Mus musculus: one gene and its partner. The protein of the gene in region 1 binds, or shares a complex with, the protein of each later gene. Links are inferred from orthologs where the notes say so. Each region holds a gene or a part of one and is shown in the gene's direction. Other genes may lie near its edges.

What was found.
Region 2: Taf12 (region 1) and Taf3 share a complex: the UniProt entries of both Homo sapiens proteins name them as parts of the TFIID basal transcription factor complex. The link is inferred for Mus musculus from reciprocal best matches to the Homo sapiens genes TAF12 and TAF3.

What each region holds. Positions count from the first base shown.
Region 1 is NC_000070.6:132,280,569-132,284,387, forward strand, and holds part of Taf12 (transcription initiation factor TFIID subunit 12), read left to right. Parts: intron 1-1,489; exon of another isoform or gene 1,490-1,510; intron 1,511-2,046; coding exon of another isoform or gene 2,047-2,064; intron 2,065-2,225; coding exon of another isoform or gene 2,226-2,309; coding exon 2,310-2,477; intron 2,478-3,819. UniProt on the Homo sapiens protein: The TFIID basal transcription factor complex plays a major role in the initiation of RNA polymerase II (Pol II)-dependent transcription.
Region 2 is NC_000068.7:9,916,569-9,919,666, reverse strand, and holds part of Taf3 (transcription initiation factor TFIID subunit 3), read left to right. Parts: exon of another isoform or gene 1-1,457; coding exon 1,458-1,564; exon of another isoform or gene 1,565-1,682; intron 1,683-2,973; exon of another isoform or gene 2,974-3,003; intron 3,004-3,098. UniProt on the Homo sapiens protein: The TFIID basal transcription factor complex plays a major role in the initiation of RNA polymerase II (Pol II)-dependent transcription.

The sequences.
Region 1 (3,819 bases):
TCGGATGCCTTCTTCTGGAGTGTCTGAAGACAGCTACAGTGTACTCATACACATAAAATAAATAAATAAATATTTACATTTTAAGGAAAAAAAAACAAAAAACTTTTTTTTTCCTTTTTTCTTTTCTTTTCTTTTTTTTTTTTTTTTTGGTTTTTCGAGACAAGGTTTCTCTGTGTAGCCCTGGCTGTCCTGGAACTCACTTTGTAGACCAGGCTGGCCTCAAACTCAGAAATCCGCCTGCCTCTGCCTCCCAAGTGCTGGGATTAAAGGCCTGCACCACCACCGCCCAGCACAAAAACCTTTTCTTTTGCTCCCTAGTCTCAGATCACTGGTTCTTTTTAGTTCAGTAGACTATGAAATACTAATCTGTGTAGACAGCCAGAAGCTGGAGAGGAAACAAACAGCCAGGTAAAACCCAACTATGAAGTCAGGCCGAGCACCATAGTCACAAGGCTTTTCTGCCACCAGCAAACAGTCCCCTTGACTCCGATGTTGTGTTTCAATAATAAAATTCCTGACCATCACAGAAGTAAAATTGTTTAAATAGAATCTGTTTTTATCCCTGTCTCCCAACTTTCCCTCTTTTTTCTTTCACTCATTCCTTTCCTTTTTTCTTCCATCCTTCCTTTATTCTTTTCTTTTCTTGAGATAGGGTCTCACTGTATACCCTTGGTTAATCTAGAACTCATAGAGATCTGCCTGCCTCTTCCTCCTGAGTTATGTAATTAAAAACATCCACTTTTACTTTAAGCTGGTTGTGGTGGCGCATGCCGGTTACTGAAGGAGGCAGAGGCAGGAGGATCACGAGTTCGAGGCCAGCCTGGGCCACTATTACTTTAAAAAGTGATCACAATGTGTTTTTGGTTTTTTTAGCTGTTTTTTTGTTTGTTTTTATTTTTGAAGACAGGGTTTCTCTGTGTAGCCCTGGCTGTCCTGGAACTCTGTAGACCAGGCTGGCCTTGAACTCAGAAACCCACCTGTCTCTATTTCCCAAGTGCTGGGATTAAAGGCATGCACCACCACTGGCCAGCAAAGGAAAGCTTTTAAAAGGAAAGGCCGTTAGAGCATGCCATTCTGTCTGCCAACCCCAGCTTAGCTGTGGCAGATGGGATGAGGGAGGTTAGACTTGGTTATTTAATTGAACTCTCAACCGTGCAGCCTATAGTTTTACTGTTTGAAGTAAGAACAGCTACCTGGATGACTGACTCTGGCCTCATACCCAAGATTCTCCTGCCTCAGCAGCCACATCTGATACAGTACTCTTTTGATGGAGTTACAAAGCCAGGGCCTCACATATAGTAGGCAAGCACTCTAGCACTGAGCTGCATCTTCAGCTGGATCCCTGCTGGTGTAATTGCACCATGCCACACGACTGGAATACTTCTTTGGCCAGGGTGGTACTTGATACTAGTTATTTGTTTACAGGTAGCTTTTGAAAATGGCTGCCTCTCATTACAGTGGGCTTACAGCAGTTGCTGATGTAATTAAAGATCTAGACACTCAGATAGCAGTAAGTAAATTCTTGGAGGCTGCCATGGGCAGAACTTGGTGAATGTGCTTCTGATCTTGACACCACAGCCGATGTCCAGAGTCAGTCTAATGGCTCTAAAATGTAGGATTTCTGGCTGCTTTAGGCAAGAGCCTCAGCATGTCTTGAAGAATGCTAAAACACAATGGAAAAAGTTTGTTACCAGGAAAGCAGAGTTCTTAATAGTTGCTAAAAGTTGTGTTTGTTGGGCAGAGCCCTGCCTTGGATGTAAGCATGTTTTGGAATGCTTCACCATGTTTTGAAAGTGAACTAATTGTTTTCTTAAGCTTTGTGACTGAGTTTCAAGTATTTGATTGTGCTTCTGTTTATTTGAATTTAACATTATTTGATACTTAAAATAATGCATGTACGTACTTAACCCAGTATTCTGCTTGTATGAAACCCTTTAAAATGTCTTACTTATTCTAGTTTACTTTTTAAAATAAGATTGCTGATTTCACTTACTTTTTTCCTTATTTCAATTTTGTGAACTATTTCATTTCCGTTTTGGAGACAAGATGGTTTCTAAAAACCAGGTGAGAGCAATGAAATTCCTTATTCCCTCCATTTTAATGTCAACGTCAAGAGGTCACCCTCTCAGATAAGACTCAGAGTCTGACAGCTTTCCTGTTACTTTCAGAACTCAGCCAGCACTGCAGGTGTCTCTAGAGTAACCCTGTCTGTTTCCCTTCTACAGCTGATTGGCCTTGGTCCTCACAGCTCTAAAAAGAAGCAGGATCTTGACAAGCTCTATGAGTTGAAGTCTAAAGCTCGGCAGATTATGAACCAGTTTGGCCCTTCAGCGCTAATCAACCTCTCCAGTTTCTCATCTGTAAAACCAGAGCCAGCTAGCACCCCGCCACAAGGCTCCATGGCCAATAGCACCACCGTGGGGAAGATAGCAGGCACTCCTGGGACAGGTGGTCGTCTCAGCCCTGAAAACAACCAGGTACTCCCGAGCCTTTCTTCCTCAGAGCCCCCTCTCTAATTTGGCCCTGTCCATACAGAGATGGATGTTGTCAGGCGCTCATTCTTTCTGTTGAAGAAGGTCTTCCACTCTACCAGTTTTATTGAATTATTGTCTACAGTGTCAGGTCTGTTTTTTGTTTTTTAAGATTTATTTATTTATTTCGTGTATGTGAGTACACTGTAGCTGTCTTCACACACATCAGAAGAGGGCATTGGCTCCCCATTACAGATGGTTGTGAGCCATCATGTGGTTTCTGGGAATTGAACTCAGGACCTCTGGAAGAGTAGTCAGTGCTTTTAACCGCTGAGCCATCTCTCCAGCATCAGTTTTTGCTCTTTTGTTCCTTCTTGTAGTTTATCTTACTGCTGCCATCAATGTCAGCAGGGATTCCCTCTTCATACCTGTGAGCCTGATTCCACCCTCTAGAGCAACAAGAAAAGAAGTACACCTTTGCCTTGGATCGTGTAGGCTGCATAGGACGGTTGAGGAGCAATTTCAAGGGAGTGGGAAGAAGGACTGGCCGAGCTGCTTGGGGAACGGTTGGCTGAGCAGAGACCAGCCTGTGTTGACTCTGGAAGCCACTGGAAAAGAACAAGAGAAAGTGGGTGTGGAGGTCACACCTGTGATCCCAGCACTTTCGAGGTGGTAGGAGGAAGGTCAGGAAACAAGTTCAGGACCCTGTCTCAAAGAAACAGAGGGTCACCAAGTAGCAGCCAGTAAAGGCACATGCGGCTAAGCTTGACAATCGGAGTTCAGTCCCCATGTCTGTGGTGGAAGGAGAGATCCTAATTCCTCAAGTTACTTCCACATATGCATTATGGTGGGCACATGTAAACATATACACACACCTAACTGCTGTAAAGCCTTTAATACTAGCACTCAGAAGGCTGAGTCAGGCAGCTCTGAGTTCAAAGCCAGCCTGCTCTACAGAGTGAGCCCCAGGACAACCAGAGCTACATTGTGAGGACCTGTCTCACAAAAAGGGGTTGGGAGTACACACGGTTTGTTGTTTGTTTGTGTTTGTGGTGCTGGGAATCCACTGTAGGATCAAGCCAGGCAAGCAATGTACAGCTAAGCTGAATCTTCAGCTCCCTCATCATGTTTTAATGTAATTTAGATGTGGCATCCCTTTCCTTAGGAAAGAGGGGTGGTAACTTTAGCTGCTTACACATTACTTAGGTATACTCAGATACCTAAATAATTTAGGTGGTTACATGTTGGTTGCCCTCATAGAACTGTTAGATTTTCTTTCTCTCTTTTCTTCTCTTTCCTTTTCTTTTTTTTTCTTTTCTTTTCTTTTTTCTTTTTTTTTTTTTTTTTT
Region 2 (3,098 bases), on another chromosome or scaffold:
ACCCTGGAAAATATTGGGTCCTACTGTGGTGCTATAGCAATTTTTTTAATGTATCTCAGAGTCACAAGTCTGCTAATGTCAAGTAAGGTCAGCCAGCAGCAGGACCAGCCATGCATGGTGGCTTCACCCACTGGACACCCCCACTTGGGGGACGCTGCTGGTTCTTTCCCCATGGTGCAGTGTCCCCCAAGTTAGAGCTGGCAGTCAGAGACAGCTTTCTCCACATTCCTCTAGAACAGTTTCAGGTCAAGGTGGATTGCTTTATAGAGATTTTTGAAATAGTAACTTTTGAGCAAGTCCATGCATACAGCAGAACATGCCCAGTCTTGGTAAGCCCTCACAAAGAAACCCTGGTCGTTCACATATCGAGTCAGTGCAGTGCTAAAGGCATAGGACGAGGACACCTTGCAAAATCTGTAGTGAAGTCATATGCTGTCTTACTGTGAGGACATTTAAAAGGAAGCGTGACTCGGCGCTCCTTTCCAGTGTCCATGCAGTTCTGATAATGTGACATTTGAGAAAGCTGTCCAGTTAGGAGCGCTCCCTGTTGAGAACGAAGTCAGAACTTCCAGAACACACAGCATTTGGAGCATAATAATCATTTAGTTCGTTGGCCCCATGAGCCTCTTCTTTCCTCCGCCCTTTAGTTGATTGTGCTTTTCTAAAATGTCATAAAGGGAATGGAAAGTTACTCAGTAACAGCTCTTTTCCATCCTTGATCTTATCACCTAGCTCAGGAGCAGGGCCTGGCTAATGAGTAATGACGGCGCGCATGCACACTTGACTGTCTGTGCTAGACCGTGGCTGAGGGGATACAGAAAGCTGAGGGCTTTCTAACTCTCACTTGCTTCTGCCCGACACCCCATAATCATTGGGGGTTTGTGAGCTTATAGGATTCTTAGGTGAAGCCGACTCAGGTTGTGTTCCACGGTTCCCAGAGATGACTCTGTGATGCTTTGCTTTTAGTGATTTATAAAGCAGTTTAGAATGTGCATTAGAAATGTGTCCTTCTATCCAGGCATGGCAGCACACACCAGAAATCCCAGTTCTCAGGAAGTAGAGGCAAAGATTGCAGTTCAAAACCAGCCTGGACTATATAGTGACTGCCAAGCCAAGCCTGCCTGAGCTCATGAGATCTGCCTCAACAACAACAATAACAACAAATCGGAGCGGGGTGTGTGAGGGAGAGTGTAAGAGTAGGGGAAACTGAGAGGGAGAGAGCTAGGAGAGAGTGAGAGGAGGGAGTGTGTGAGGGAAGAGGAGGAGGAGGACGCTGTTCCTGAATGACCAGGTGTTCTCCTCTTTATGGATCCAGAGCAGAGGCGACTGATGGTCGCGTACAACAGTGCTAATGCATGCACCTAGCTTGTTGGTTTACTGTGGCCAGTATAAAGCAGCATTCTTACCTGCTTCTTTCCCCCCACACCATCTGTTTCTGCTCTGCACTTTACCACCAGATCCGTGATGAGTGGGGCAATCAGATCTGGATCTGTCCAGGGTGCAACAAGCCTGATGACGGGAGCCCGATGATTGGCTGTGACGACTGTGACGATTGGTACCACTGGTGAGTGCCCCCACCCCCGAGTGTCAGACAGCAACGCAGGTCGAGCTGGAGCAGGTGTCCTCCCCAGCTAGCATCTTAGACGGACTCAGCTCCTCTCTTGACGACAGTCTAATGGAGCCTGCAGAGTAAAGTGACTGAAGAGTTAGCTGTGCTGTTGTTCCAGAGCCTGGCCCGTGGATGCTCGGCTTCAGATATATATCCTCTCTTATAAAAATACGTAAGGGTGTAGGGTCCCCCTCCTCCCTGTCACTGGCATTGGGAGGGAGAGCTACAACACGTGTCTGTGTGGGCTTGAGAAGAGACTCAGACAGCAGGTTTGCTTCTGAAGCTTGCAAAGATGCTCAGCCAAAATGTGTTCAGCTGCGTTTCATTCCTAAGCTGCCTCTTTGGATCTGATGTGTGCTGTCTACGATAGACCCGAGCCGGGTGAGCTGGGCTGCTGCTAACTTCAGCACTCTAATGCTGAGAATCACAAGTTTGAGACCAGCCTTGGCTACATAGTGAGTTTGAGGTCAACCTGGGCTATCTTAGACTCTTTCCCACCCTCAGCCTCTACTCCCAAATTAAAACGTAAAAGCAAAGCCATTTGCATTATACTATTCCTGATGGAAAGTACAAATAATCTATATGATCTCGCGATACAGAAGGCATTATATAATATAGCCTAAATAACCAACATTAGTGCAAAGAACCTTTGGGTGAATTTTTGGTACATACATCATTTTTTGTGCTTATTTCTATTGTGGGAGTGGAGCATGCTGTATTGGTTTGCACATCATTTTAGCCCATGCATGTGAAGGTCAGAGAACCACTGAAAGGAGCCAGTTCTCCACTTCTAAGCCCATCATGTGGCTCAGAAGACTATGTTGTCAGGCATCGTGGCCAGTGTCTTTATCTGTTGAGCCGTATCACCATGTCTTAAAAAAATCATTTTAAAGCATCAAACAAAGAAGGGATTGGTTTAACTCAGTTGGTAGAGTGGTTCCTTAGCGTGCAGGAGGAGCCTTAGGGTCCATCCCCACAGCTGCAGAAGCTGACTGCGAGGGTTCACACATCCCAGCTCAGGAGGTAGAGGCAGGAAGACCAGGAGGTCACGGTCAGCCTTGACTGTACCAGGAAGAAATGACCCCTTTGAAAACATGGCACAAGAGCTGAAGAACACTGCCTGCTCCTCCCGAGCAGGGAAGTCCCGCACCCCAGGGGAGTTCACAATGGGCTGCAGCTCCATTGACAGGAGTCAGACATGCTCTTCTGTTCTCAGGCAGCACCAGGTACACAAAATGATGCGCAGGCAAAATAACACAGAACACACATAACAAAACAAAAACTTTAAACTTACTTTTTTTAGGAAGCATACAGCTTGCAGACCCTGCCTCAGAAAAAGAAAATTATAAACATAAGAAACTTACTGGACTGGAGAGATTGCTCAGAGGTTAGGAATACTGTCTGCTCTTCTAGAGGTCAATTCCCAGCCACCACATGGTGGCTCAAAACCATCTGTAATGGGATCCGATGCCCTCTTCTGGTGTGTCTG